Tamandua tetradactyla: one gene and its partners. The protein of the gene in region 3 purifies or fractionates together with the protein of the main gene of each other region. This does not show direct contact. Links are inferred from orthologs where the notes say so. Each region holds a gene or a part of one and is shown on either strand. Other genes may lie near its edges.

Region 1 (8,385 bases), on a different chromosome or scaffold from region 3:
CAAGAAATAATCATGATGATGAATATGCAACTATGTGATGATATTGTGAATTACTGATTATATATGTAGAACCGAATGATCAAAAATTAAAATTAAAAAAAAAGAAAGACAAGACCTAAATAAAAAAATAATAAAGACTCCGAAATGTACTTAATGCAGACCTTTGTGTTTCAGAGTCACAGGTGGTTCCCTCCTCCAGAGTGAAGGCTTCTGTGTGCCCACCTGGGGACATGCCTCCAGGAGGCACACTGTACACCCCAGGTGCTGGGAGCAGCCCCCACACCCAACAGGCTGAGAAAGGCATGTGGTCCAGTTACTTGCCCCGGTGGGACACGCAGGCCTACCTGCCCTGCAAACCAGGCTCCCACAGCTCTGCTTCCTGGGGGAAAGAGAGGCGCTTAGGCTTTGTTTCTCTTTCAGCATCTTCTAATTCCAACTCTTAAATTCTGAATTAAATTTTGAGATTTTTAAAAATCATTCCTCCCTTGTAACACTGTCACAATCGACTATACAAACTCTAGAAACACAAGTGTTCAAATTAATGACACTGTAATAAATTAAAAAAACAAAATGAAAAAACTCATGACATCGTACAGTTCATCCAAATTTTTCTCCACTCATCTTTTACTTCAAAATTCTAAGTCCTTTTAACTGTAATGAAAACAATACAAACTACAAAAGTGAAAACATTTCACTAGAAATATTAGAATGGCTATTATTACTAATTTAGTTCTACTAAGTTTACTAACTGAACTGTCTGGCTTTTTTATAGTTGTTTACAATCATTTTTTAATAAAAGCTCAAGTATTTTGGAATATTTGTCAAATGAATTCTTTCCAAATATACCTATACTATCCTAAGCTAATATGGAAAAACTCTCCCCATTTACGAGGAAAGTTTTATTTCTACACAAAAGTAGAATTTTCCTTCCATTAGTCTGGGAAGCGGCTCAGTCTCCTCACACACAAACCCCTTCTCCTTCCTCCTGGCTTTCCTCCGGCTTCCCGCGGGGAAGGTCACCAAGGGTCAGGCCGAGCCCACCCCGCGGGGGAGTCACGAGGCTAGGCCGAGCCCACCAAGCGGGGAAGGTCACCAAGGGTCAGGCCGAGCCCACCGCCGCGAAAGTCTCTTCGTCTTTACCGGGTCGAGGTCACGCGGCCTTCCGGCCCGGAGCCGCGACACAAGCCGGGAAAGTACCCCCAAATGAGTGGACGGGGACCCCGCCCGAGCCTGGGGCGGAGGCGGGACTTGTATTCAGAGCTGCCGGCGACGCACTTCCTCCTGCTTCTCCGAGGCGGGAAGGGGCTCGGGACCTCAAACCCTCGGGGGCCGCTCCGTGGACTCCCCGCCTCTGAAGGGCACCGGCCCTGAGCCCCCCCCCCCCCCCGGCTCCCCGAGGACCCGCTTACTCTGAGGCCCCGGCTCCCTAAGAATCGCCTACTCTGAGGCCCCGGCTCCCCGAGGACCCTGGCCCTGAGACCCCTCAGTTCCCTGAGGACCCTCTTACTCTGAGGCCCCGGCTCTCCGAGAACCCCAGCTCTGAGGCCCCAAGGCTCTCTGAGGACCCCCGGCTCTGAGGACCCCAGCCCTGAGATCCCTGACAACAACCCCCAAATCCCTGGGCCCCCGGTTCTGACACCTCCTGACTCTCTGAGACCCCGGCCGCCAGGACGCGCACGGCCAGACCGCCGTTGGGACCGGCCCTGGGGCCCCCCTCCCCGTCCGACCTTCGCGGGCCCCGCCACTCCTCACCTTCGGGGACGGCGCTCCGGGGATGGCCGCGTCGCCGTCGCCCAGCCGCGGGGAGAGCACCGTCCCGGGGACCGCCGCCGCCGCCGCCGCCATCAGCCCGAGCCCCAGCCCCCCGCGCCGCCGCCGCCGCCGCCGCCGCCTAGTCCTGGCCGCGGCCGCCGCCGCCGCGCGGAGAGGCCGCCGCGGCGTCCGCTCCCCGGGCCCCGCCCCCTCCGCCCGCCCGCCGCCGCCTCCCGGAGGCCGGCCTCTGCCGCCGCCCCGGGCCGCCCCGCCGCCGCGCGCCCCGCGGCTCGGCGCGGCCACCGACACGGCCATGGTCGCCGCCAGCGCTGCGGCCGCCGCGGCCGCCGCGGCCGGCGCGGAGGAGCGGAGGGCAGCGCAGAGGCGCGGCGCGGCGCCGGAGCGGAATGGAGAGCGCGCAGCTCGGCCCCCTCCTCACGTCAGCCCTCTCCTCCCACCGCTCCTCTCCGCGCCCGCAGCCCGCGCCGCGCCCCGCCCCCGCCCCCGCCCCGCTCGCTCGCCTGGCTCCCACCTCTCCGCGCCGCCCACTCCGCGGGGTCTCCTCCGCCTCCAGCAGACCCCGGCTACCGATCGACCCCCCGGCCTCCTACAGACTCCTAGCTCCCCAAAGACCCCGGGCCTCCCAAAGACCCCCCCGGCCTCCCAAAGACCCCCTCGGTCTCCAGCAGAGCGCCGACCTCCAAAAGACCCTCCGGCTTCCCAAAGACCTCCCGGCCTGCCAAAGACGCCCGCCCCCGGCCCCAAAAGACCCCAGGTTTCCGGCAGAATCCCGGCCTCGCGGAGACCCCTCGGTCGGCCCCGAACCCCTCCCCGTGTCCTCGCCGCTGCACTCACCGCCTCCCGCGCCCCAGGCAGCCTCCCGCCCCCGGGGCCTTCTGCGCTCACGCTCGGGGGTTCTGGCGCCTGCCCCTTCTGGAGCGCCCCCGAGTCTGGGCTCTGCCGCCCCCCACGCGCTTTTCCAGGCGTGCGCCGGGTTCCGCCGCGGCGCGGGAATGGCCCTCGCCCGGGTCTTCGGCCCTGCCTTTGTTCTCCACTCGCGTCCTCATCGCCGCCAAGCTCCACGTGCACGTCGGACCACAGAATCACATCCCACTGAATGTGTGCTTTCCGATTCAGTCTTTACCTTCCTTTCATCAAAAAGTCTTTCCACATGGAACCCAAGGCAAGTCAAAAACCGTAAAATGTCAAAGTAGCTGAAATTCCACTGCTTGCACATGCTTTTGTGTGTTCACAGATGTGGTGTGCACCGCCGCCGCGGCCGTGTTAGCGAACGCGGGAGGAGGGCCCGGAGCTGCCAGGAGAACGCCCGCGGGGTCCGGGGACCCGGAGCTGAGGGGAGGAAGCCGCACAGGGCCAGTGGACCCGTAGCTGCCGGGAAAACGCCCACGGGGTCCGGGGATCGGGAGTTGCAGTGGAACGCCGCACCCGGCCCTGGGACACAGCTGCGGGGAGAACTCCTTACAGGGTCCTGTCACCACGTTGTGCTCCAGGAGCCTCGATCCATGCTGGCCTTCACGTTGGCGCTGCCTCCTGCTTGGGACCGGGCATTTAGGCCAAATTTGCTGATTTGTAAAATAGGGGCAATACAATCGGGTTTGTGAAGTGCACAGAGGAAGCGCCAAGAAAATGGCAGCTGTTGTATTTGAATTTAGTGTTAATCCAACTTCTCAGGGTTCACTAGGTCGCTTCTTTTATATGTTATACTATACAATAAAAAAGTTAATATTCAGTTATTTAGTTGTACTCTTCTTCCTTGGCTAGTCTATCTCTAGATGAAATGCAAATTTAAAACATCTCATTCCAAGTCAGCAGATAGTGATCTGGCCTTCGGTGTTCAAGGTAGACAGGGTTAAGAAGGCACCGTATGGTGACAGGCCCTGACCATGTGCTGCCTCAACACTAAAAGAATATGAGGCAATTGTTGTTAAAGGCCACTCAGGTGGGAGAAAATTTAATTGCAATTAGAAGAATTAAGATTTAAAAGTCAAGATAGAATTTTTAAAGTATCAAGAAATAGGTAAGACTTCAACTCAATAGTAATATGTTCAGTTGGAAGTGAAAATGAGGGTTCTAAACCCAGAAAAAGTTGAGAGATCAGCAAATATGAGGCATACTCAAGGTACCATCAGTTATTCTAGTTTGGCTAGAGAATAGAGTAAATGAAGGAGGGTTCTAGGAATTTGAGATGAAATATACAAAGAGGCATTACGATGTAATGGAGAAAATAAGCAATTTAGAGTTAAGACTGGTTTAAATCCCGGCTATTTGTTGTGTGATCATAGGTAAATTACCTAATGCCTCTGACCCGCCATTTCCTCATTTTTCAGATAAGAATAATAACACCCATTCAGTTATTCCACAAATATTTTATGGCACACTATGAACTGGGTTGGGTGATGGGATGTAAGGAAACAATTATTCATTAATACATCAAATACTTCCTTATTGTTCACTAAGTTAGGCCCTGAGTTATACACTGACAATACAGTGGTGAAGAAGAAAAACAGCCATAAAACTCCAGAAGACCACATAGAGAGAATATGTAAATTGAGGTTTGAAGAAGATCCAAGCCAAAGGAGGCCAGAGATCCTTGTGGAAGTTAAATAGAGAAGGAGGAGGAAGAAAACAGAGTGTGGGGTCTTGGAAGCAAAGAAGATAAATACTTCAGAAAGTGGAGCTGGTCAGCTATGTGTATCATCTGAGAAGTTGAATAAGATGAGGACAGAGAAATGTCCAGTGATTTGATCAACTTGAGGTCATTAGCAATCTTGACATGAGTTGTTTGAGTAGCGAGGTGGTGACAGAAGCTGGGCTGAAATCGACTGGAGAATGAATGGGAGGCTAGAAATTGGAGCCAGAATACAGGTAATTCTTCTGTAAAGTTTTATTGTCAAGAGCCATAGAGAAAGGGTTAGCTGGAGAGGTGTTGTTTTTTGTGTTTTTTAAGATGGGAGAAAATTCATAGCTGACAAGAATGACTCAACATAAAGGGGAAAGTCTTGGTGCAAGAGAGAAGAGATAGTTTACAGAAGGCAACTCTTGAGAAGGCAAGAAGGAATAGGATCATCCAGAACACAAGTGCTGGGACAAGCCTTTGATAGGAGAAGCACTAGTCATCCATTCTGTTACTGGAAGGAAGACAGAGAATGTTGCTGCAGATGCAAGTAGGTTCATAGGGTGGTGGAACCTCTGATAGCTTCCCTTATCTTAATGAGCTGAGGCTTCAACTGAAAGTGAGTAGTGGAGAGGCATATAGGAGATTTGAGGAGAGAGATCATGCAAAAGAGTGTCTCAGAGAGTGGGAAAGCAAATTTTCTAGGATGCCAGGCAGTGTGGCTTGACCCTTTGATGTTTGTGGTCATGGGATTTAAAGTGAAATCCCTCAGCCTGGTTGAGATATTCTCAGCCAACTTTAGCTGCTTGGATGTAGGCTTGGAAAAAGATAAAATGGCATATATCTAGGAATAGATTTCCCTTATTGAGGAAGGACAAAAGAATTTGGAGTGTGTGTATAAGGAAGTGATTATAAATATGGGCCATGGAATCTAAGCTGAAAAAGGACAAACAAACAAAAAGGATATTAAACAGTGAAATAGGCCAATGAATTGGGCATGTCAATGAGAATGAAGGTGGTGAGCTGGAAGGACAAGAGATAATTGTGTGACAATAACATACTTAAAATTAAGATTGTAGAGGTCATATTAATATCAGTGATAAAAACGTCTAGCATGTAAACCAAGAAATAGATGACCAAAGGGGAGTGAAGAAAAAGGTCACTGAAGGTGAGTCGGTCAAGGAATCGAAGCTAGGAAATCCTAGCTTTGCATGCTAGTCCAGGACTATAAAAATGGCCATGTAAATTGATACAGTGCCAAGAGAATATTGATCATCGAGGAAAATTGTTCTGTGGCCTTAAAAATTTACTGTCAAAACCTTAAAAATGCTCTGCTGATTATAAAGGTATAGGGAATGAAAAAATAAACTAATATTTAGTATACTGCAATCTGAAATATTAGAAACAGAATTGTTTTATTTCTTTATTTAAAAAACTGATCAAGAGTAGTTCAAACTGTGCTTGCCTTCTTCTCAATCTGTAACTTATGATATGATGAGTATCTTTTCTATGCCTTGACAAACTATCATACTCCTTTCTAAATTTGGATAAGCTTCCAACGTTTTATCCTTTGCATTCTCAGTGTCATGAAATATCTCGAAGGGTTCTTTGATGTGAAGTTTTCTTTTCTTTTTTTCTTTCTTTCTTTCTTTTCTTTTTTTAACCAGCAGCACTTCCTCTGAGACAACCACCTGCTTTAAATAATCTGTGGAATCTGGGGAGACATATCCAGCAACATCCTTATCCACATAGCAGCTTTACCAGAGGGCTTAAAATTAAACAATTCATCTCAACTTCTGATACAATGAAATCAGTCTTTATTGGCAGTAAAAGAAATTCAGTCTCTTTGCAATTACCATTTTCTTCCAATGTTTCAACTAAATTCAACACTTTGGCCTGAATGCTAGCCAAACTGATTGGGGGTTTTTGTTGTTTTTATTACATTCTTCAATCCACAGTAGAAGAAATGCTCCATTTTTAATAATAAATGGCTTTCTTTTCCTAGAGAAATTTAAACCAGAAGTTGTTGAAGCAGCTTATCTTATTTTATATTTATAGATTTGTAGGACTTTTTCTGTATTATTCCTATAATAATTTCATGCAGGCCTAGGTCTTGTCCTGTCTTAGCTTTGCTTCAGTCATTTTCAACTCTCTTAATAACATAAAATTTCAAAGTTTTTCAAGGTCAAAAGAGTTGCCTACCTGCCTTCTGGTTTTAAGGCATGAGGAACTACAGCGTTCACTCGGGAAGGCTGCATTGGGACCCTTCATAACAATCAGGTTGTTGCTAAGGAAAGAAACTCAGAATACAAGAGAGGCTGGGCATCTAGAGGAGTTTGCTGAACCACATAAAGAAGGTTCCATAAGCCACCATAAAAAGCTCAGAGAAGGGCAGGCCACGGTAGCTCAGCAGGCAAGAACGCTTGCCTGCCATGCCAGAGGACCCGGGCTTAGAGAAGCAGAGTCTGATCACAGGGTGTTTGGATTTGTGATAGTGGCTGAAGAAAACATTTATGTGGCATTTGCTATTATTGATCGTCATGGTTCTTAGAGGACAGCAGAAAATCAGTTCTGAAGTTATGGACCAGAATATTTAGTTTGACAGTAAGGTGTCTTCAGGGTGTATGCACCCCTTTTATATAGGCTGATAGTGAGGTGGAGCAGGGAAAGGGTTCTAGGACAGCAGGTACAGCCATAATAGCCTTTGTAGGGGAAGGAAAGGTGGGAAGAGGTGATACTGGGCCTGTCCTCTTCAGTGGGTATCTGGGGGGCAGGAGGGGAGGACATAGTTATACAAATTTTCGTGAGATAATATTTGAGTACAGAGGAGAGTATATAACCCAACATGGAGCAGAAGTGAGGTTAGAGGCAGGGGTGGTAGTGAGAATTGTTGCTATGATTAGGGATGTGTATGATATCTATTAAGATCCATTAAGCCTCAGAAAATGGTATTTATTATTATATTATGTAGAATTTGGAACCTTAAGTGTAGGCAGAAAAATCTGTATTTAATCCAAAAGGCAACCAAGAACTAGAAGGGCAGAGAGTGTCATAACTCAAGTTATGCTCCCAAGATGATACTCCATCAGTTTTTTGTTTGTTTGTTTTCAATTAAAAGTTTTTTTAATTTATTTATTAATAAAAAATTAACAAACCAAATAAAACATTAACATATATAATTAGTAATTCACAATATCATCATTTAGTTGCATATTCATCATTTCTTAGAACATTTGCATTAATTCAGAAAAAGAAATAAAAAGACAATAGAAAAAGAAATAAAATGAAAATAGAAAAGAAAAAAAAAGATTATACCTACCATACCCCTTACCCCTTGCTTTCACTGATCACTAGCATTTCAAACTAAATTTATTTTAGCATTTGTTCCCCTATTATTTATTTTTATTCCATATGTTCTACTCGTTTGTTGACAAGGTAGATAGGTAGATAAAAGGAGCATCAGACACAAGGTTTTCACAATCACACAGTCACATTGTAACAAAAGCTATATCATTATTCAATCATCTTCAAGAAACATGGCTACTAGAACACAGCTCTACATTTTCAGGCGGTTCCCTCCAGCCTCTCCATTACATCTTGAATAACACGGTGATATCCATTTAATGCATAAGAATAACCTCCAGGATAACCTCTCGACTCTGTTTGGAATCTCTCAGCCATTGACACTTTGTCTCCTTTCACTCTTCCCCCTTTTGGTCAAGAAGGTTTTCTCAATTCCTTGATGCTAAATCTCAGCTCATTCTAGGGTTTTTCTCAATCCCTTGATGCTGAGTCTCAGCTCATTCTAGGATCTCTGTCCCATGTTACCAGGAAGGTCCACACCCCGGGAGTCATGTCCCACGTAGACAGGGGGAGGGTGGTGAGTTTGCTTGTTGTGTTGGCTGGAGAGAGAGGCCACATCTGAGCAACAAAAGAGGCTCTCTTGGACTCCATCAGTTTTATATGTGGGAAGTTGATAAAATTTTCGGTAAAGAGAA
Region 2 (7,972 bases), on a different chromosome or scaffold from region 3:
AGATTTAAATGATATAAACAGAGCTCTAAAATGTTTTTAAAAGTGGGGGCAAAAACAACATTTTTTAAAAAGTGAGGGAAAAAAGTAACCTGAAAAACCATTTTTGTAACCCAAACAAAACCAATACTTTGTTTTCAATGTGTATATGCATGTGTATGTTTGTATTTGTAACATTTACTTTTTTTTTTTACAAGAAGAATATGTTTATGCATTTCCCATTTAATTAAAAGGTAATATTATCTTGAAGAAAAGAAGATGGCCATTCAGTAGTTTATTTCCTGCAAAATTTTAGAGATTTAACATGATTCTGCTCCCAGGGGAAATCTGTGCTTAATTCATTATAGACTAAATTGTTATTTCTTAGCAAAGCCTACATTGGCATTCATGTGTATTTAAGAAATGCCCCTTTCAATTGGGGAAAAAAAAAAGATTACTTCTTCAATGGGTTTTTTTTTGTTTGTTTTTTAAGTATTGTAAATCTTTATTTCAATCATTCTAGGCAGGCAACAGCAGTGACTGCAAGGTAGTGTGGAACATCGACAGTGCCCATTACAGAGGGAAATCTTAGCCACGCTTTCATTCATTCATTAAAAAAATACTGCATCAAAAAAACACCCCTATAGCTAAATGGTCTAAAGAAAGTTCAGTTCTGACACAGGTAGGCTAGTAACTTCAATTCTAAAGTTTCTCCAGAACAAGTCTCAAACAAAGTCTTACTGAACCTAGATACATTAATAAACTTTTTTGGGATGGGGAGAGGGTGAGAAAAGACAAGAATTTCATGAAATCAGACTTCGATATCCTTTAGCCATGCTCTTAATATCAATACCCATCTCCATTATTCTAGGCAAATTATAATTAATACAACCAATACTGGTCTCTGGGCTAGAAGTAAAAAATTCAAATTCCACTCTTGGCATACTTTTACTTCTTTGGGAGATGAGAGGAGTGATAATTACTTAACCACTTGAAGACTGTTTTCTTATCCTTCAGATGAGTGAATATTTCAATTTTTTTTTATTTCACAAGAACGTTATTAGAAAAAGACTGTAAAAATATACAAAATAGCTCAAAGACAAAACTAGATAATCATTTATACCCAAGCCTAACAATAAGTTTATCTAATCTTTGCATGATATAATTAAAACAAGATTTCTGTGAGACAAAGAAATAAAAGTCTGCATCTCAGATCAGAAATTTAAATCTAGATTGGGTTCACATTAACAATAAGTGGTTGCCTGAAGGCAAAAGCAAGGGACTTAGAGGTCTGTTTTCCTTCTTAACTGTGTGAACCTCACCTGTGGCTGTAGCACCACCTTGAGTGGTACTGAAAGTCTTTGTCCTGGGCTTTGTCCTGGTCCCATTATCTGTGCCTGCTGTACAGAGGACAGAGTCATTGGCTGGGTTGAAGGTGTCTGCTGGGGCTGTGGTTGCGATGATGGAGGCTGTGGTACAATCTGGATTTTTTGCTGTGGCTGCTGCACCTGCAGCTGGATAGTTACTACTTTGGCAGGCTGCCCCTGGGCATTCTTGGCTTGAGTCAGGGCTGCCAGCTGATTGCCCTGTAATACGATCTTGCCTGGGAGACTCCCTAACACGACATGCCGGTGTCCTTGGGGACCTCCAGACTGTGGCTGCTGGAGGACCAGGGTGATGCGTTTGGATTCACCCTAGAATAAAGAAAGGAAATTCCAAGAAAGGTACAATATTAGAAAGAATAGTACACCTATAACAATTTACCAGTCTTTCTCTCCTAAAATCACAAAAATCCTGGATCAGACGACATAATACAATTCATTTTGTTCATCCTCCTACGTAATCCTGATACAATCTTTTCTATTAAAACATATCTGCTCAGTGAATAGCAAGCCTATTTTTTTAAAAACTTCTTATGTTTTTGAAATGAAATGCCATTCATTTTTAGAAATCTATTAGAATAAAACTCCTTATAATGATGAAATCTGGCCTTCTTGTAGATTTCCACTGGTCTCAGTACTGCTTAATTTCCTTTAGCCCTTTATTGAGAGGATGGAGCATCTACTTTCTTATAATAGAGCTAGTCTTTTCACTGGACAGAGCAGAAGGGAGACAATTTTAGTAGTAAGAACAAGAGAAAGAGATACATAGCTTCCATAAGTCTTGCAATATAAATATATTCTTCAAAAATGATTCTTTGTTCCCATAGCATCCTGTATTTCTTATATCATAAAACTTTATATCATACATTATTGTCAATTCTTGGTTAATGTCTGTCTTCCCCAGCAGACTGTGAGCTCTGTTAGGACAGGGACTGTGTCTGTCTTATTTGGCACCAGCTAGGCACGGTATAAACATGTAGTATAAATATGTAGTATATGTATAGTATAAACATGTAGTATATGGATATGGTATAAACACATAGTAAGAGCTCAAAAAATATGTCAACACTAACTGTCCCCACCTAGCAAGTAATAAGCATGTGACTGTCAACACTAACTGATAATATGTGCTCTCTCTCACAGTTGCCTGGCTTTTACTAAACCAAAAGTTACCTCCCCCTTTCACTCAAGTCACCTGGGTAGGTGTAGAGGTCAGTGTAACTGCAGGCTTCAGAGGGGGCCCTGTGGCCCCAGGGTTTCCAGCAGGAGCTGAACCCTTAACTGGTTGTAGGACCAGCTGCTTTACTGGTCGGCTGGGCTGGACAATGCGCTGCACAGTAGCCTGGTTCCCAGGGACCTTGGCGGCCAACACTGTATTACCAGAGACAATGGAAACACCTGGTCGAAGGGGAGTGCCGGTTAGCACTTTGGTAAAAGTGACTTTTCCACCATTGGCTGTGCCAGCCACCAAGGGCTGAGCTGTGCTGGTGATACCTTGGGCCTGAATTTGTGCCACATGGGCACCAGTGACTGAGGAGCTTGGAGGGGCCTTAAGGATAACAATCTTAGGGGCTGACTGAGGTGGTTGTCCTCCAGCACTACTGGAGGAGACAGCTGATGAGACAGCTGTGGCAGAGACACCCATGAAAGGATTCCCTTGGCTCAGTATCTCCTGGCTCTTGGAGACCTGCAAAAGTCCCGATGTTGGCGTTGATGTCTGTAAGACAGGTTGTACTGGCTGCTCTTGGCTGGCGGGCTGAGTGGTATAATCATGCAATGTTAAGGATTCTGGAGCTGGAGCTGTTGATTCTTTGGGAAGTTCTGTGGGTACTGTTTCCTCTGATGGTGGGACCAGGTCACTTGCTGAAGAATTCCCCACATCACCACCTCCACCATCCTGGTTCATCTGATCCAAGGAGTCCAGGGAGCTTGGCAGTCCAAGGGCTTCCTCAATGGGATCTTGTGTGACCTGGGTGAAGCTGTCATCAGTCAGAGAGTCCAGGCCAAATAAATTCGGGTCATCAAACAGATCCATGATGGGGTCTGCCATCTTGGGAAAGCAATGGAATATTCCCCAAGGTCTAAGGAGGGAAGGGGAGGGGGGGTAATGGCTCTCCCCTCCCCTCCCCTATTAAGAAAAAAATGTACACAGTGGAAGAGGACTACTCTTCAGGTAAAGAGGCAACAAACAAGTGCATGTCAGATTGTCCTGACCTTCATGGAGCAAGAGATGGCTAGGTCTTCAGAGGAAGATGATGAAATTCCTGTTGTGGGAATACAAATCAAAGATAAACAAAGTTGGTGACCTCAGAGAAAATTTCTTCTTCTTAGGTATTAACCTTATTAGCAAACAGCATCAAAATAATAAAACAAGAGATGAGGCAAATGTGAGAATCTGAGGATAGAGGCACAACGGAAAGAACACCCACATTTCTGTTTCAAAAAGAAAACTAAAAAAGAAAAGTCAAACTAACCCCGTTTGGGGGCTGTTAAACACCTACACTTTTTTTTGTTTTTTGGATACATGGGTTGGGACTAAAACCTGGGTCTCCCCCATGGCAGGCGAGCATTATACCACTGAACCAACTGTGCAACTTATACCTACATACTTTTAAACTCCTGGGTGCCAAGAGTATTCAACTGCCTCTGTCCATTCCTTTAAAAATTATAATTCTTAGGCAGAGATCAGTAAATTTAATCTTCATTCACCTTTTATTTTCCGTTTCTGAGTTGGCAAAACTGAAAACCATATATCACCAGGATTTCAGTGAATGTGGATAAGGATTTCTACATTCTTATCTATATTCTTATAAAAGGATATTTTATATTCTATCTTATAAATTTTTCTTATATTTCAGATAACATTGCTTCCTACTGGCAAAAATAACCACCTTCAACAAATCTCATAGTACAATCTTACCAAGCTTATACTATGATTTTACCGAGGGACTTTTTCAGACTTTATTCTAACTAACATATCAATTAATCTATATATAGCATTTCTGCTGTAAAGTCCCCTTTCTCTAAGAAATCTTTCTACTTGAGATCAAAAACTTCCTCTGTAAAGAATTCAAGGCTTTCTACACTTTGGTTCCAATTTAAATTCCCAATTTTTTTCTCTCACCATTTCCCATAATATACATCCTAAATTCCAGTCCCATTAGACCATATAGTTTCCTGAATGTGATTACTATCTCTGTGACTTTGCCTATTATACTGTAGCTTATGCCTGGGAACTCCCACTCCTTTGTACCCCTAACATCTCTCGCAGCTGAAATCCTACCCACCTCTCAAAGGCCTTCTTTCCATAAAGTAAGCCCTGGTCTCTGACCCTTTAACAACTAAGCAATTTGTGATGATGTGATCCCTTCACCTCCTTAGATACCCAAAGCACTGTATACACCTTATTTAAGGCACTCAGATTTAATATTTTACTAAAATGACTTGCATTCTTGTCTATATTCTATTAAGGTCCAAATGATTCCTTTGCACAAATTTTTTAAAATTGCCTGCTCTTGAAAATGCTTTTCTGCCACCTGCTGGAAAACTGTCATACTGAACATATAAATTGATGATTATGAATGTGTGCAATGCATTCCTGCACAATCCTGCATGGTAGCCTGACAGCCTTGTTCTTCTTTTCCCATGAGAAAGGGAACTCTTGGATGGTAGGGATCATGACTTTTTTATCGATGGCTCTCTAAGCAACCAGTAGGGTATGACACACACAGAAACTACCAAAAGAATATTCAATGAATTAAAATATTTGCTTGCAGTATCTGTGAGAGTATTCAGTCCTCAGAGAAACTAAGTAATATTTCTTGATTTTAAGATGAGACAGTAGAAAGCTTCCTATCTTTCCTACATCCCAGGGATGATCCTAGCCCTGGCACTGTGGGATCAACAATGCCATTCTGACAAAAAGAGGGTGTAAAAAATAAGGTATCAGTGGCTGAGAGAGTACAAATAGAGTCAAGAGGCTACACTGGATGTCACTCTTACTCATGCTTCAGTTAGATAATGCTACCTATCATAACTTGCCAAACCCCAACCAAAACCATTCCTGCCAATCCTAAAGAATACCTAGGGCATTATATAAGATTCTACAAAGGTTCCATGCACAAGGGTAACTCTCCAAAACCTACAACCTCCAGATGGGTCCTTGGACCAGGTAAGTCCTGAAATGCAGAGGGGTCAGCCTCTCCAGAACATCAACTAGTTCCATCCCCCATCCCATATTACAGACAGCCCCTTCCAACATGAAAAAGTTAAAATGGGCAAAGCCCAAATACCCCTAAAGAATGGGATAGAAAGATCAAAGATCAAATGATGGTGGAGTTATACAGAGAAGGCCGTATATAACAAATGATTATGACTGCTGAATCATATTTCTTTTAGCCTCCAGTACCTTAGAGCAGCTAGAAATTAAAAACCCAAAATTGTGGAATTGTAACCTATACCAAACTCTGAAATCTGTTCTACAACTAACTGTTGCAATGTACTTTGAAATTTACTGCTTTATGCATATATATTATTTAAAGGGAAGGATGAATATAACAGAGAAGATGGGATTTAACAAAGGAGTAGAACTGCTGAATTATTATATTGATATTTCTGTCTCTAGTGTCTTGGAGTAGCTAGAAGAAAAAATGAAAAATCATGAAATTATAACCATACCAACCTTTAAAATCTGTTCTGTAACTACTTGTTAAAATGTACTTGGAAATTATTGCTTTTTTGTATGTATGTTCTATGCTACAATAAAAAAAAATACTATCCTACAAATGGCTGAACGTGTAGTTACTAAATCCATGTCTAGGATTTTAAGTTCATGAAATTATCGGAAAAGGAAAAATTACCTAAGACAAGGAATTGTAAATATATAACCACATAATTAAAATACACGAAAAAGCAATATTTAGTCTTTGTGTATGATGTCAATGTTTGACAATCCAGCAGACCACTTCTCTTAGTTTTTAGAAGGCACCAGACAAGAAATTTGCCAGCAGGACAGTACAGACTTCACTGGAAGACTTTTCCAAATGACTGACAAGCTCTATTTTTTCCATCTTCAACCTATTCCAGTTATCCTTATAAAACAATATAATGTGGGATAATATTCCAGAAACTCTGAAGTTGTCAGAAAGAATAGACTCATCAGTAGTTGGTGCACTGATTAAAATTACAAAATTAATATGGCATCTCCACCAATGTTAAATAAGATCGTCTTTGCTTCAGTAACTGTATATCCTTCAACTCTCACCTGGGACCTATATCACTTCTGGCTAAACTCTTCTACCAGCTTATTCCAGCCTCTATTAAATGATACTTGCCCTAAATTTACTCAGAATGGAGATCCGAGAAGGTATAGACGTATTTTGATTTAATGAAAACCCACTAGATAATGTTACAAATTTTCTCAAGTCAACATTATCAACTTTTTCCAGTTATGTTCTACTTTGCCACCTATTATCTTTCATCTCCTATTCACTCTCAGCTGTCACAAAAATATACAAAGACAGTCCCCACTAACAAGACTGTTTATATTGGTATAGTTTATAATGTGTCATTTTTTTTCCCATGGAGTACTTTGTCCTTTCTACAATTCCTACTATTTATTATACTTAACGTACTCCTTCCTTCCATAATAGCCCAACCTAGGCAGAGACATCATTTTTTTTTATTAAAAAAAAATTAACTAACACAACATTTAGAAATCATTCCATGAGACATCATTTTTTAATAGGATAAATTCTCAGTTTCTGAGAATTTTTTTCAGACGCTTTTATAAATCAATGCATTACCATTTCTCTCTCCCTTCCTAATTCTGAACCAAACCTTTACTTCTCCTAGTTCAGTCTAGGGCTCAAACATTCAAAAACTTCTATACCAATTTAATGCCACATCACCAAATATCATTACTTCTCAGTCCCACCCCATTAAGTCACCTCTACTGACCCAAATCGTCTCATTTTATATATTTTTTTATTCTAGCCGTCTATATCTTTAAGCTGTTATTGAGTCTCACTAGATGAAACCTCCCCAACATATCTCCAATTTTCTTTACCCTCCTTCCATTCCTACTTGTGGGTCATCCCAACTGTATCTACATCTAGCCTATTCTACCAAGTTCACGTGTTCCATGATATATGAAGCACTTATCTATCCCCGAGTAAAGAAACTGCTGGGATAAAGAAGTCATACAGGCTTTTATTATATGGAGAATGAGAAGCTGGACTTGGCCTACCACTGCCCCAAAGAGAAACAGGTGTTCAAAAGGAAAGCTACAGTTTAGTAGTTGTACTTTAGTCACTGTCCATAACTGCAAACCATAATGACCAGACTCATGATGAAAATTTTGGGAATGGGGGGGAAATGGAAAAAAACAGTCAAACTTAAAATTCAAGGCCACTTATCTATAAACTCCAACTAACCAGTCAGAGAAATTCTCTCTATATAGGCCAATAATAGCCCTTCATCCCATCTCCTTCTTAAATGGTAACTAACTACTCCTAATCTTTTACAAAGAGAGCCCCTCAACCTAAGTATAAACCAACATTTTTTACAACTTTATAACCTCTAATGTAACTCTTCTTGGATTTTTGGAGATCTAG
Region 3 (7,922 bases):
ATCTTGACGCATACAGGGAAGCCCAATATGTTCTTCTATTAAGTTTCTATATTTATTTTGCATAATCGCCTCTGTAGATATACCTGTAGCATTTGTCCTTCAAAATGCAATATTGTTTATTTTTATATCCCATTTTCTTTCTCCAGCAGCACACACATCAAGACTTTTTAAATCAACATTCACTTATCACCAAATGATTTTTCTGCCTGTTTTAGAATGACTTTTGTGTGGCGGTGTTTATTTTATTAAACAATTTTTATATCTGCCTTGGGATAATACGATTAAAATTTGCCCCTCCCCATCAAACCATGCAATCATTATAGAACTGTTTGCATAAGAGAATAAAAGAAGACAGCAGAGAAGGAAAGTTGTGGGGTTTTTTGTTTTGTTTTTTTTTAGGACAGATAGTGCCCTCTGTTTTAAAAGACCTTTTTGGCCCTCTGAAAAATACGGTCTTGCGGAATATGTCATATGCTTAGAAGTTAGGGCATCTTCATTTGGAAGTACAGGAACAAGCTATAATCATTGGCCAACTTTTTTTTTCTAAGTTTCTGCCTGTTTTATTATTCAGAACGTGTTATTCTCTGTTGGATTCCAAAAAGTAGCGAACCCTGTTCAAGGGATGATATCATCTATTAGGTTGAAAATACATGAAAGTGGGGACAAAATTGTCAGTGAAACAAAGTTTTGAAAATCTCTGTCAGAGGCCATTAGGAAATGGGGCATCTTATCAAAAATCGTGCCCGCCTTGTGGCTAGCATGTACAAAGATCTAGAGGCTGCATAGAAGGAAGATTAAGGCTGAAATTTTGTGTTTTCTCAGGTAAGGCATTTGGAGCATAATTTTTGTTCCCAGTGACAATGCCACCAACACTGGCCATGAGCCTACTTCTTTCTTCTTTTCTTAATGCAATTTTATTGATATCTATTCACATAATCTACAGTCATCCAAAGTGTACAATCAGTGTTTCACAGTATTATCATATGGTTGTACATTCATTACAATTTTCTTCTAACTTTTTAGCTGTATAGTGTAACATATATACAAAGCAAAGAAAGAAAAAAGCAGTAGTTTTCAAAGCACTCTTCAACAAGTAGTCGCAGAACCAATCCCAGAGTTTGTCGTGGGCTACCATATCATCCTCTCAGATTTTTCCTTCTAGTTGCTCCAGAATATAGGAGGTTAGAAGGCATAAATACTTTTTTTCTCATCACATTCGACTTTTTTTGTGTGTGAAAAATAGCATATATACAAAAAAGCAATAAATTTCAAAGCACACCACCACAATTAGTTGCAGAACATATTTCGGAGTTTGGCGTGGGTTACAATTCTACAATTTTAAGTTTTAACTTCTAGCTTCTCTAAGATACTGGAGACTAAAAGAGATATCAATTTAGTGATTCAGCAATCATATTTATTTGTTAAACCCTACCTTCTCTGTATAAGTCTATCATCACCTTTGATCTTTCTATCCCTCTCTTTAGGGGTATTTGGGCTATGGTCATCCTAACTTTTTCATCTTGGAAGGGTCTGTCACTAATATAGGGTAGGAAGATAGAACTATCTGAGGTTCTGGAGACGCTGGGAACTCTAGGTTTCAGGACTTATCTGGAGGCTAAAGGTTTCTGGAAAGTTACTCTAGTGCGTAGCATTACCACAATTTTTGAACATTTTCATTATTCCCCCCAAAATACATGTAAAATAAAATAAAAATAAAAATGATAAAGAACACCCAAAATAATCCCATGCCCCTTACCACCCCCATTATTATTTATTGTCAGTGTTCTTGCCTGCTGAGCCACCGCGGCCCGCCCTATCCTTATTTTTTTTATTCATACAATAAGGAAGGAGTATCAGCCACAAGGTTTTCACAATCATATGGTCACACTGTAAAAATGATATAATTATATAGCCGTGTTCACGAATCAAGGCTAATGGGTTACGTTCCACAGTTACAGTTCTTTCCTTCTAGCTATTCTAATACGATCCCCCTTCTTTCTTTCTCTTCTCCCCTCTTGATGGAACCTTTCTATTTTACTGTCTTTTTCAGAAGCAGAATAGCAAAACAGTAGTTATGAATGAAGATTTTCAGCTTTGTTTCTTATGAGCTGTGCAAGCCACGCGTGCAAGCCATGTAACCTCTCAGTATTCACTTCACCATCTTTAAATTTGAATTCATAATGATGCCTACCTCATGGGGTTATTGTAGGGTGAAATGAGTTATTACATTTAAAGGACTTAGTTCAGGGCCTGGAATACTATAAATACTCCTGATATCTTAACTGCAGATATTAATAAATAACACATAATCAATAACATATTAATTATGTTATACTGTCATTAATAGTAATATTCTTATTTTACTTAGAAAATATTCTAATTGGAGATATATTACTGCTCACCCCAAATGCCAAATCTTTCGGGATTTTAATTTTTGAAGCCTTGGATAAATACAAGCACTAATCAGTATTACATTAATCCAGACTTTCACAACTCACTTAAGCATGCCAAAAAACATCCGAGTCAGTATCACAATACACTATTAGTATTCAGAATTGTCCTGCTTTAAATTATATGATATTCCTGTTACAAAGGACAGAGCAAAGTTGCAACTTTTCTCCCCTCCTCTCAGAAATCCCACAAAGGACACAAGGAGGGTGAGAAGCAGAACCACAAACATCATCTTCAGTGAAAGTAAGAGACACCAGAAACTCCTCAAATAAAAGGAGAAGGAGCCACCCAAATCAGTGAGGGAGCAACAGGCGGAGGGGATTGGGAGGGAGGCTGCCTGTGGCTGCAGGTCTTAGAACAGGCCAGCAGAGGGCGGCGCTGAGAGGTGCGGGCCACACCCGGAGAGGCGGAACAATGCTCCCTTGTTTGCAGTGATGAGACTCCAGTGGGTGGAGAGAGCCTCGGCTCACCGGGCCAGACCCGGGTTCTGGGTATGAACTTGCCTTCCTTGCCTGCAGAACTTGCCAGCAGACTTAGATGATGCCTTCCCTCTCCCCATGTCCCTCCCACATGTGACCGTGGGACATGTGACAGTGAAAGGTTGACCGCGGGCCCTTGTCCACGTATTCCACTGATCTGACCCTGACCGTGTGCCCCGTCACCTAGAAGCAGCTGCCTTGGTGCCAGCAGGGTGTGGCCTGCTGCAGGCTCAGGTACGGGGCCAGCTGGGAAAGAACAGCCTGTGAGGTTGGGATTTCTGGCCGTTGAGATGCAGAATATGCCGTAAACCAGCTGCCAGGAGGCAGGGGTCCAAGAACCAAGGAAAGGAGGGAGGAGTGTCCCCTCCCTCTTCTACCTCTAATTTGCTGGAAGAATTTTTGTTTTCCTGGCCAGTGACCTGGGACTCAGTGGTTCTAGGTCTCCCTGGTGCCTTAGAGAGAATTGCTTAGAGGGGGAAGCATCATGACGGTTCCATGGCACTGGAAGCTGAGGTCGTTTGGGGCTCCACTGAATTAGTAGGCAGAGAAGGGGGTCACTGGACTTGCCTCTGTGGTTGATGTGGTTATGGGGGGGGGGGAACAGGCACTGTTACTGCATGAAGGAAGGAGGGGGTGTCTAGAACCCAGGATTCACTGGGACACCTCTTAGTACTCCTTTGCCAGAAAGATCTGGTTAATGGAAAAGTATAGCATACAGTAAAGTTGCTATACTTTATTGGGGTCATAAAGACATGACCCCAATATCCTATGAGAATCAATTTTTGGTTACGCCACCAAGCAAAGAATCGTGCCCAGCTGAGGGTAAGGGGACATGGAATTAGTGATAGAAGAAGGCAACTCAGACTTGGCAGCCATTAGAAAAGGGGGCCTCTAATAGCTGTGATTTATATTAATGGTTCTTTTCCCTTCCTTTTTCTTCCTACCTAATATAAAGAGAACTGGCAGTGGCTGATGTTTCGGTGTTACGTAATTACTTGCTATATAATCTTTGGCAAGTTATTTAACTTCTCTGTGGTTCAGTTACTCATTTGAAAAACAGGGATGATAAAACTGGATAGCTCATATGTTGTTGTAGAGATTTAATACTTAGAATAGTGCCTGATACAGAGTAAGTTCTCGATATATTTAAGTATTATTTCAGTCATCGTTACTTCTACACTAGATGTCTTTTTGCATTTCATTGTCACTTAGGCAAGGAAGTCCCCAGAAAAATTTCCCAGTTTTTATTATACGGTAGTCTTAAAATTTGGAAGTATAAATTTCAAAAAAAGTCAAAATCAATATATAAGATTTGTTTGCCATAGTAGTTAGTATGTCATAACAGGAAGACATCCAAATGAATGATAGAAACACCAGATTCAGGATAGTTATCATCTCTGGAAAGCAAAGTAAGTTGAAGGACTTCAGCTATGTATTAATTATCTGTTGCTACATAACAAATTACCCCCTGTAGTGGTTTAAAGCTTCTAAATACCCCAGAAAATGTCATATTCTTTATATTTGCATATATATATATGTATTTTTTTAAATTGAGAAATATTCATACACATATATTCCATACATGGTGGACAATCAGTGGCTCACAATATCATCACATAGTTGTATATTCATCACCATGATCATTTTTTAGAACATTTGCATCTCGCCAGGAAAAGAATTAAAAGGAAAAAGAAAAAAGTCATACATACCATACCCCTTACCCCTCCCTCTCACTGAGCACTAGTATTTCCATCTATCCAATTTATTTTAACCTTTGACCCCCCTATTATTTATTTTTTATCCGTATTTATCTGTCTACACCCTGGATAAAAGCATCAGACACAAATTTTTCACAATCACACAGTCACTTTGGAAACATTATATCTTTATACAATCGTCTTCAAGAATCTAGGCTACTGGAACACAGCTCACCAGTTTCGGGTACTTCCCTCCAACCATTTCAACACACCATAAACTAAAGGATTATCTATATAATGTGTAAGAATAACCTCCAGGATGACCTCTCGATTATTTGAAACCTCTCAGCCACTGAAACTTTATCTTGTCTCATTTCTCTCTTCCCCCTTTTGGTCAAGAAGGCTTTCTCAATCCTTTGATGCTGGGTTCTAGCTTGTCCCTGGACTTCTGACCCACATTGCCAGGGAGGTTCACACCCCTGTTGAGTCATATCCCACATAGAAGGGAGGGCAGTGAGTTCACCTGCCGAGTTGGCTTAGAGAGAGAGCCCACATCTGAACAACAAAAGAGGTTCTCTGGGGGTGACTCTTAGGCTTAATTTTAAGTAGTCTTAGCCCATCCTTTGCATGATTAAGTTTCATAGAGGTGAACCCCAAGATTGAGGGTTTGGCCTATAGATTTGGTGGTCCACACTGCTAGCAAGAATATCAGAAATTCTCCAAATTGGGAAGATTGAATATATCCTCCTTTCTCCCTATTCCCCCAAGGGGACATCACAAATACTTCTTTATTCTGCCTAAATTACTCTGTGATATATTGGGACATCACACGAACCAGGACAAACCAAAAAAACTCACACCCTATTCAAGATTCCATGTAGGAAATGGGCTACCCAAAGTATAATTTTTGCACCAAATAAGCATCTCTCCCTTTAGTCTCACAGAGAAGTTGAAGTTTTAAAATATGGATGATAACATCCTTTACCCAGTCTTCTGATATACATTAGTCCAGATCAGCTTCATTCAAATCTCTACACAATCTGATCACTTTTTCATCTTTTTAAACAGTTCTGGTATGGAGTACTGCTGACTTTCGTAGCTTTAGAGTTCTAACTAACAGTCTCAGGTGTCACATAAATACCTGAAGTTCTTGGGAATGACCAGGTTATATACAAACAGCTCAGTATCACAGAATCTAGAACTAACAGTGACCCCTCCTGCATATATGTGACTGCTGTAAGAGCTTACAATCTAGGAGCCTTTACAATAGGCCCCGACCTGATAAACCAAGTTCTTGACTTTAGTTCACCAAGTTTTTATATTATCGTTAGTCCATATGATGGAGGCATGATGATATTTGTCTTTTTGTTCCAGACATTTCATTCAACAGACAGTCCTTAAAGTTCATTCATCTAGTTGCATGCCTAGATGAGTCACAACTTCATTCATTCTTGTAGCCGGTCAGTAGTCTAATGTATGTCTACACCATAGTTCCCCCTTCCATCCCTCAGTCCTTGTAGCCTTAGGCCACCTCCATCCATTGTGGATCCGGAACACTGCCACCATAAACACCAGTGCGCAAATGTCCATTCGTGTCCCCACACTCACTTCCTACAGGTATATACTGAGCAATGGGTTTCAGGGTCATATGGCAACCCCACCCCTAGCCTCCTGTGGCACCACCACACTGCCCTCCAAGGGGCTGCACCTCTCGGTTTCCCTACGAACAGTGAATAGGTACATCTCTTTCTCTGCATTTTCTCTGGCACTTGTTTCTCTCTGTTCATTTTTAAACAGTTTTATTTACACATCATACAATCCACCCTAAGTATATAGTCATGCCTTTGCCACCATAATCTATATGAAGCCATTTCCTTTTCTTCCACAAAGAATCCATACTGCTCCCTGATGCCCCTTGCCTGTTGACATTTAGTTTTGGCAAAATGCCTCTGTTACATTCAATGGAAGCAATTGCAATGTTACTGTTGACTATAGATCCTAGCTTGCATTGATTGTGCTTTTTCCCATATACCATCTATTTTCAACACCCTGCAATAATGACAGTCAGTTGTTCTCCCTCATGCAAAAATGTTTTTTTATTTGTACATTCAATCACCATCATTGTCCATTCTAGGCATTCCTAAATTATACCATCTCAGTCTTTATCCTCTATCTTTCCTTCTTTCATATGTGCCCCCAGCCCTTTTCCCTCTATCATACTTACATTCAGCTTCATTCAGTGTAGTTATATTACTGTGCTACCATCAGATAATATTGTGCTACCCATTTCTGAATTTTTTACAATTAGTCATGTTGCACAATCTTTATTCCTTCAGCACCAATTGCCCAATCTTTATTCTATTTCTATCTTCTGATAACCTGTGTTCTTAACTTCAATTCTCCAAGTTCACTCATTAATGTTTATATGAGTGAGACCACACAATATTTGTCCTTATTTTCTGGTTAATTTCACTCAGCATAATGTCCTCAAGGTCAGTCCATGTTGTTACATGTTGTCATGGTCAGGTTCATGTGTCAACTTGGCCAGGTGGTAGTACCTGTTTGTCTGGTTGGGCAAGTACTGGCCTGTCTGTTGCTATGAGGACATTTCATAGAATTAAATCATGATCACACCGGCTGCATCCACAGCTGATTCCATTTGTAATAAGCCAAGAGGAGTGTCTTCTGCAATGAGTGATGCTCAGTCTAATCACTGGGAGCCTTTTAAGGAGGATTCAGAAGAGACAGGCTCTTCCTGCTTCAGCTGGCGAGCCTCTCCTGTGGAGTTCGTCCAGACCCTCCATTGGAATCGTCAGCTTCACAGCCTGCCCTGCAGATTTTGGACTCTGTGTTCCCACAGTCATGTGAGACACTGTTATAAATTTTATATCTGTGAATGTTCCCTGTTGATTCTGTTTCTCTAGAGAACCCTAGCTAATACACAGGCTTATGACTTTATTCTCTCTTCCAACTGCATAATAGTCCATTGTATGTATATACCACAGATTGTTTAGCCATTCATCTATTGATGGATATTTGTGCCATTTCCATCTCTAGGCAATCATAAAAAATCCTGCTATAAACATTGGTATGCAAATGTCCATTTGGGTATTGCCCTCAGGTCCTCTGAATATATATGTAGTAACGGGATTGTGGATCATATGGCAATTTTATACTTAGCTTCATGAGGAACCACTAAAATGCCTTCCAGAGTGGTTGCACCATTTTATATTCCCACCAACAGTGGATAAGTGAGCATCTTTCTCCATATCCTCTCCAGCACTTGTTGTTTTCT
Region 4 (7,716 bases), on a different chromosome or scaffold from region 3:
TGGCTCCTTCCCATCCATCCCCCAAGCCCTTCACCTCCTGGGGAGGCCTGCTCGGCCCTGGGCCCCAAAACTGCCACCTCCCAGTCCCTCCGCGTCCCTCAGGCCTGCTGCTTTCCTCCAGCATTAACGCCCTCCTGCCAATGTCATTCAGTTCTGTCCACTGTCCGCTGCCCGCCATAGCCGCAGGGCCCTCACCAGCCACTTGTCGCGGGCATAGAGCACAGTGTTGAGCATGGACTCGTAGAAGAGGCAGTAGCCCATCCACTCGCTGATGACGATGTCCACCTTCTCCACCGGCAGCTCCACCTCCTCCACTTTGCCTTTGATGATGGTCACCACTGCAGGAGGGGGCGGCCATCAGCCCCCCGAGGCCCCTCCCTAGGTACCATGGGGGCGGGACTGGGGCACTGTCCAAGAACCCTTTGCTCTGAAGCCAGAGCTTGCTAACTGTGCCTTGAGATTCACCCATCACTCTGGTCCCTCTGAGTCCTACACGTTGTTGAAGCAGTTGCAGAAATTTCCCACAGACCGGCCAGCAGACAGTAAGGTTATATTATTATGGGATATGTTATGGGAAACATGTAACAAACGAGTCACGGTGTGGTTATGCTTCTCAAAAGGCCCGATCTACTAGAGACATACACAGGATTTACAGGTGAGCCGAGGTCACAGCTGGGATTTATTTCAGCATGAAGCTGAGAGATGGGGTCCTACACTCGTCTCTTTAGAAAAAAAGAAAACCACTCCGGTTCTTAGAATGCTGCAAGCCCTCACACTCAGCAAACCTACTGCTTTCCAATGTTTCCTGCATGCTCAGCCTTGCCACTGGGAATGCAAGTGGAATGGCCACCAAAAGCAATTTGGCAACATCTACCAACTTACTAATTCACATTTTAAAATAAATGTGGAATGACAAGATGTTCAGGGGACAGAAATTTCAGAAGTGGCTCACACGCCCATGAACAGGGTTAAAAAAGGTGAGGTGTGTGCAGAACGGCAGTCACAAAACAAAAGGACACTTCTCAGCATCCGCAAGCTTGTTAAAACTAGACATGAACAGGTGCAAAAAAAAAAAAGACAGGAAACAGTTTGGCAATTCCAAAAAACATTAGACCAAGAAATCTCCTATGACACAACAATGCCGCTCCTATGTATATACCCCTAAAGAAGTGACTGCCGGGATTCGGGCACATATTTGCACACCACTGTTCATTGCAGCATTATCCATAGTAGCCAAAAGGTGGAGGCAACCCAAGTTCCATCAACAGATGGACAAATGGGGAGCTTTCCATCCATACAACTGAATATTATTCAGCTATAAAAAGGAATGAAGTACAGATACATGTGAGATGGGCTGCGGAGGCAGTCCAGACACAAAAGGACCAACACCTTGATTCCATATATATGAAATCTCTAAAGCCATCGAATTCATAGAGACAGAAAGCAAATCAGAGGTTACCAGGGTCCAGGGGAGAAGTGAAAGGGGAGTGACTGCTTAATGGGCAGAGGGTTGTTTGGGGTGATGGGAAAGTTCTGGAAATATATAGTGGTGATGGCTGCCCAATGCTGTGACTACGCCCAATGCCGCTGAATGGTACACTTAAAAAGAAAATTAAATTGTCATTTTTCATGACATATATTTTACTACAATAAACGAAGTGATAAAGAGTAAAAGCTGAATGAGATGAGATCTGTGTGAAAACTATGTTCATTTGCCCACAAACATTTACATATATATTTCCTTGTGGGTTCAGATTTTGCTGGAAGGTAATAGATAAACTCAGAGAAGGGTAGCTGAGGGACAGACGGGAGACGCCTCACTCAGCACGACTCTCAGACTTAGTCAGGAGATGAGAGACTGCTCCTTGCCCTAACACTAAGACTGAAGCGCTAATGAGCTCGCCACTCAAAGCCGGCACCACACTCCCGCTGCCAGCGGTCACGGGTTCTCAGCCCGATGCCAGCCCAGAAGGCCCCAGGGAAGGGACGGCTGCCCATGTGCCCCATCAGTGGCCCCCACCCCCTGGCTGAGGCCCTAGGGAATCTGAGAGTCACCCACTGCGTCCCCACCAGTCCGCTTTCCTCCTGGGCTCACCGTGGTCTAACTTGTTGGCTTTGACAATCTTCACGGCATAGTCAGAGATGCTGGAACACTCGATCTGGGGTCCAGGAAGAAGGGAGGGTGAGGCCCCCCCATCCCCCACCTCCCACCCCCCCTCGGCCCCCCCAGGCCCTCCCGTCCCCCAGGCCCCCCCTCGTCCCCTGCCCCAACAGGCCCCCCCCAACCCCCTGCCCGCCCTCCGACTCACCCCGATAACCTTGCGGGCCCCGGCCTTGGCAGCGAACATGCAGAGGATCCCCGTGCCTGAGCCCACGTCCAGCACCACCTTGTCCTTGAACAGGTGCCGGTTGTGGAACATGGAGTTACGGTAGGTGAGGGTGCGCACCTCGTCCTTCAGCATTTCCTGGGGGAGGCGGGGCACAAAGACGCCATGAGGGGACCCGTGTGCAAAACGGGGTGGCCTGGCCTCCAACACGCTGACGGTTTGGAGAGCCCAACCGTAGCCCTCCCACGTGTTAGTCCCCGTGGAATAAGACCTTTCTGTCCATTTCAGTCACTGTTCGTAAAACCAGGTGTAATGGATCAAACTCTCATTTTAGCTGAATTTGACCACCTAAGCCTCAGCCATCTTTGGCTTTAAAATGACTTCAGTTAATGTAAAAAAAAAAAAAAAGAGTCCCCCCACCAAACTAGCCCAGCTGTGCTCTGGGACCTCCACATCCTCAATCTGCAAACGGGAATGAGCAGCTGGAGTTGCAGTCCCACCAGTAGTCACGAGAGGGCGGCAGAGACCAGCAGGCCCAGAACTGGGCTGAAGTCTTGGGCACGCATGCGCGCTTCCACGCTTCCACCCTAGTTTCCCTAACGCGGCCCCACTCCGGGCTAACTTCGGTGTCCAAGGCAACCGCCAGGAGAGGCCCCCAGTTCCCGCGAGGCCTCGCATGCGCAGACCAGCGGCACGGGGACAGGGAAGACTGCACGCATGCGTGGGAAAGGAAGCCTCGCCCCTCCCGGGCATTGACCCGCGTGGGATTCACCCTCCTTAGAAGCTGTCCACGCTCACCTCGTGGATGCCGAAGTGCGCGTAGGAGTCGAAGTAGTAATCTTTGGATGTCATGTCCTCAGCGTTGGGTTTCTCACTGCTTTCTGCTTGGCCGCAGGAGACCTGGGAGGAGGTGGATGGGAGCATGGGTCAAATCTGGGGGCTCCCACGGCCTCTTCGACTTCCAGGTTCCTATTTCTCCCTAGGGTAGAGAGCTCCCCTCCCCTCACACCAGTCTTACCAGGGCGACCCTAGAGCCCCCGCCTGCCATCCTGCCTCCCCCAGGAACCCCAAACCCTAGCACCCCCATTTTTCTCTTCCAAGACCCCCCCCAGCACCATCCAGGATACCTCAGCCACGCCTACCATCTCTCCGTCTCTCTGCCCCCGTCTCTAGCTCAGCCCACAGCTGGGGAGGGGAGGGGAAGGCAGAAGTGGGGCAGACACAGGGGAGGGCCAAGGGGGGCTGGAAGTGGAGTTAAGGAAGTAGCCACAATATGGGAGGAGGCCAGCCGGGGGCCACCAACCTGGAGGGAAGTGTACTAAGGGTTTGGAGGGCACAGGGTAACCTGGTTTGAAGCCAAAGGGATCATGGTTAGAAGCACGGGAAAAGGTCTAATGTGTGGCAGGATGTATTTATATGGAGGTGGGAAGGGGGTCTCACAAAAGGATATTTACTTCTTCAAGAGGCGGCTGGAGGCTCATCCCATTAGCCAAGGTGGCTACAAAATTCTAGGAGAGAGTAACAGGGAGAAAGGATTAGCTAATGGGAGTGGTAGGGGGAGGGCCAGGCCAGGGGTGGGGACTGGGCACCAGGGCTCCGGGTGGAGTGGGGGTTCTTGCTATTTTCCTTTTCCTTGGTGGGGAGAGGTGGCAGAAGTAACAAGTTAAGAGGGAGGGCTGTTTAAGAAATGGGAGGGGGAGGTAGGGGGAAAGCAAAGGGGTTCTCCTGTCCCAGCTGTGGCTGGAGAGATGGCAGCCCATCCCTTCACTGCCCCTCACTAGTCAGACATCTGCCTACACACCTCCCCCATCCATGCCAAAGGACCTGGCACCGCCGGGCACACAGGCACTGCCAGCTGTCACTCCCCGCATCTAATCCCCCAGATTAGGTGACACCTTCTGACACACACCCCCACCCCAAGGTACCAGGAATAGCTGCGGGGGGGGGGGGGATGCTGGCAGGGTGTGCCCACTGGGCAACAGCCCCCTCTGCAAAACAATCTCTCATCTGAGAGGATTCCAGAAAGGAGGTGTGGCACATGGGCACTTGTGACAGAGCCAAACAAAACCAGTTGGAAGGAACCCTCCCCCCTTTTTAGCCTCTCCCCAAGCAGGTAGTGTCCCAGGGGACAGGGCCAGATTCAGGGGACTCCAGGCTAGGGCCCGGGGCGTCTGAGCCCTTCTCTCCGGTTCAGACACCCATCTCAGTTCTGAACCCCCCACCCCCCAGGTAAAGCAAGCTCTGGGGGAGATATGCCTCCCCTCCTCCTTGGCTACCTCCTGGGTCTGGGTTGTATGGGGAAAAGAAATGAGTGGCCCCCGGGGCGCTGCTTGCCATGGACATGCATCTCGGGCCCTGATCCCACACTCCAGGGATGGCTATATGCAGTGAGAGGTGGGGGTATGGGAGCACCATCAGACAACATCTCTTCCACATGTGACCACCCTGCAGGCTCCAGGAAAGACACAGCCACAGGCCATAATACCTTGGGCCCCGAATCTTAAGCCCTCTCTGAAACCTGTGAGAAGGGCAGCTGGAGTGGGGATTTCCTGTTGGGGCCCATTTCCCGAAACCACTGATCCCACCACCACCAGACAGCCCCAGCAGGCTGGAAACACGGCCATGGCACCACACGTTCACACAAGAATCAAGTATCCATGGAAATCACTTCCTGAATCCAGGCTGGAGACATACACACGGGGGCTTAGGAGAAGAGGCAGGTCGTCTCCCACCTCACAGATGCCCCAAGGAGCGAAAGGGCACCAGTGGAGGGCAAACGCTCGGAGCCTATATCCTCAAAAGACCCCCTTCTCAACAGACACACTCCCCCCGACCCCCACCTAGCCCGGGCAAGCACTAAGGGGGAGGTGGACTTGGAGACACGCCCCATGAAAAAGAGATCCCGCCCACAACCAGAAATGGCCACAAGGGGGTGCAAGGGGCCTTATCGGGAATGATCTCCTCCATCGAGACGCACCCCCACCCACGGGGAGGTCACAGGGGCATGCCCCATCCCCCCCCAGTTCATAAAGCCCCAGGCGGGGTAGAGTCCAGGCACAGGAAGCGAATGCGGTGGGGGACCAACTCTTCGTTTTCCTCCAACCGCAAGCAAGAGGACTCAAAACCTGAAACGACGCCCCAGCAGATGCCCCCGGACCTGGGGGAGGGGGGAAAGTGAAGGGTCGGGTAGCACGGCCCCACCCAAGAGATCCCCTACATCGCGGAAGGCCCTAAGGTAGGTTCTGTTTGGGTCCCGGGATCCGGCGAGGGGGTGCTGGGGGCCCCAAGGCAGGGTCGGAGCCTCCTCTCCACCCCCCCGGAGCGCCCCTCCCCCGGCCGGGGGCGGGGCCTTTGTCCCGCACGTGGAACCCGCGGGGCCACCGGGCACGGCACACCCCCTCCCCATCCACGGCCACGTGGGGGCCCGGCCGGAAGCGCCCCCAGCCCTCATCCACGTGGGATGGGGGGGTGAAACCCTCGACTCGGCGGTGCCGCAGGTCCCGGAAAGCTCTGGAGCCCCCCCCCCCCATCAGGCGGTGCCCTCGGATCCCGGGCATGCGCCCCCCTCCCGTCCCGCTGAGCGCCTCCAGCTCCAACCCGCCGACTCGGAGTCCCTTCCCCACGACCGAGGCATAAGGCACCGACCCCCAGGCTTCCCTCGGCCCCGGCGGCGCGCCAGACGCTCACCTCCATGATGCAGTTCGCGGCCTCGGCTGCCGCCATCTTCGCCCGCACCTACTCCTCCTCCGGCCGCCGAGACCCCCCCCTTTCTCCGCGCTCCCCCGGGATCGCCTTATACCGGAGGGGCCACGGCCCGCCCACAGCAACTCGGTCAGGAGATCTCATTGGCAGTGGAGGCGGCCGATCCGGGAATGCCGTTTGGCAATTGGGTGGAATAGACGCCTATCAAGGCTGAAGGGCCCTCCCAAGTTGGCGTGCAAGGCCCCGCCCCCTCAAGTCGTCCGGGATGGGGAAGACTGTCCGTCCATCCCAAGAAGAGCGAGCGGTGATTGGGCAGAGTCAACCAGGAGTTCCCGCCCAGTTCCTCCCCCTCCCATTAAGTGCCGTCTCAAAGCTTCCCGGCAGGCCCTGCGCTAAGCGGACATCTTAAAAGAGATCTGTCCGTCACCAAGACTGCCCGCAACTTGATCGCTGCCATTGGTTTGGACGAAAGGTGACGTCACGAGGCTTTAAGCCGCCTCTTGTGGGCTGGAGAGACCTCAAGGAGAGCAAGGCGATTGGCCCCCGACGGAGGAGGGTAGAATTGTGAGCTCCGGTGATCGGCTTAAAGGAACTGTCACTCGTCTTGTCTTCGGAGGATTTTCCCACCCCAGGAGAAATCAGGAGGACTGAGGGAGCCGCTGCCCGTTTGCCTAAGGGAAACACTGAAGCAGTGGGAAGCTCAGAGAGAGGGTAGAGTTGTCTGGGGTCCCCTAACAAGTTAAGAGTAGGGCTCAGACGCCAAAGCATTTAACCCCTAGGCCTTTATTTAAGTGTTCCAATTTTTAACCGCCTCAACCCCCCATCAAGGTTCTTGGCCTTTGCCCAAGCCCTGCCTTCAGGCGGGAACACCGCCTCCCTTTGGCAGAATCCTAGACGTCACCTCCTCCAAGAAGCCTTCCTGGACGTGCAAGAAAAATTACTCGTTTAAGATAGGTAAAAAGGACTGAATTCGTGAACCCCGTCTCTCCTGGCTTCTATCCCCCTACCTTCTTCAATCCTAACTTCTCTCCAATCCCTTAACGTGCAGGATGTAATATCTCCGGGCCTCTGCAAAGAATAGACGTCCTGGCATGCACTCCCCCTTAGCGAACTCCTCCCCGCTGAGATTTCCACCATTTCCTGGTTAGTAACAGTCCGTCTCCACGACACTCTTGAGCTGTGTCACCCCCTACAGCCGCCCTTCTTCCGGGGTCCCCGAAGAGGGACTTCCCACCCACCCCCACTTTGGGAGGAGTGCCCCCAGCGCCCCCACTGTGCTGCGCTATTGTGCAGAGCCTTCTTCCCTTGCTTGCGGGACTGACTTTTCCTCACCTTTCTTTGCAACTGTCACTGTATAACTATGGCCAAGTACAGCTCAGGCTTACCAGAGCGTTTAGGAGGCACCAGCAATCGTGCCCCCAGCAGCCCACTGGGCCAGGAGCTATTATGGGCTTCATTTTGCAGAATAGGAAATTGAGTTAAAAGTATAATTTGTATACAACCATCTACTCCCATTTAGATGTAGTTTGATGACTTCAGATACACACGCGTGTCGCCGCCACTTCATTCAATACAGAATATATCCTCACGCCAGCAAGTTCCTCTCTGATCCTCTCCAGGCAACTCCTCCCCCACCCAACCTCAGAAACAACCACCTTCTGTTTTCTGTCTCTTCGATTTAACTTGG

The links.
Region 1: the proteins of KPNA2 (region 3) and PHF10 purify together in Homo sapiens (co-immunoprecipitation; 3 studies listed by BioGRID and IntAct, with this or other methods). This does not show direct contact. The link is inferred for Tamandua tetradactyla from reciprocal best matches to the Homo sapiens genes KPNA2 and PHF10.
Region 2: the proteins of KPNA2 (region 3) and CHD8 purify together in Homo sapiens (affinity purification with mass spectrometry; 4 studies listed by BioGRID and IntAct, with this or other methods). This does not show direct contact. The link is inferred for Tamandua tetradactyla from reciprocal best matches to the Homo sapiens genes KPNA2 and CHD8.
Region 4: the proteins of KPNA2 (region 3) and PRMT1 fractionate together in Homo sapiens (co-fractionation; 3 studies listed by BioGRID, with this or other methods). This does not show direct contact. The link is inferred for Tamandua tetradactyla from reciprocal best matches to the Homo sapiens genes KPNA2 and PRMT1.

Annotation. Positions count from the first base shown.
Region 1 is NC_135337.1:73,934,996-73,943,380, forward strand, and holds the start of PHF10 (PHD finger protein 10), read right to left. Parts: upstream 3,005-8,385; 5' UTR 2,990-3,004; coding exon 2,897-2,989; intron 1,856-2,896; exon of another isoform or gene 1,846-1,855; coding exon of another isoform or gene 1,753-1,845; intron 1-1,752. UniProt on the Homo sapiens protein: Involved in transcription activity regulation by chromatin remodeling. Belongs to the neural progenitors-specific chromatin remodeling complex (npBAF complex) and is required for the proliferation of neural progenitors.
Region 2 is NC_135340.1:35,007,161-35,015,132, reverse strand, and holds the start of CHD8 (chromodomain-helicase-DNA-binding protein 8), read right to left. Parts: upstream 3,409-7,972; coding exon 2,554-3,408; intron 1,671-2,553; coding exon 1,299-1,670; intron 1-1,298. UniProt on the Homo sapiens protein: ATP-dependent chromatin-remodeling factor, it slides nucleosomes along DNA; nucleosome sliding requires ATP. Acts as a transcription repressor by remodeling chromatin structure and recruiting histone H1 to target genes.
Region 3 is NC_135332.1:6,063,662-6,071,583, forward strand, and holds the start of KPNA2 (importin subunit alpha-1), read right to left. Parts: upstream 3,063-7,922; 5' UTR 2,955-3,062; intron 1-2,954.
Region 4 is NC_135342.1:11,469,570-11,477,285, forward strand, and holds the start of PRMT1 (protein arginine N-methyltransferase 1), read right to left. Parts: upstream 3,021-7,716; 5' UTR 3,006-3,020; coding exon 2,775-3,005; intron 2,466-2,774; coding exon 2,310-2,465; intron 2,160-2,309; coding exon 2,096-2,159; intron 339-2,095; coding exon 196-338; intron 1-195. UniProt on the Homo sapiens protein: Arginine methyltransferase that methylates (mono and asymmetric dimethylation) the guanidino nitrogens of arginyl residues present in proteins such as ESR1, histone H2, H3 and H4, FMR1, ILF3, HNRNPA1, HNRNPD, NFATC2IP, SUPT5H, TAF15, EWS, HABP4, SERBP1, RBM15, FOXO1, CHTOP, MAP3K5/ASK1, MICU1 and NPRL2.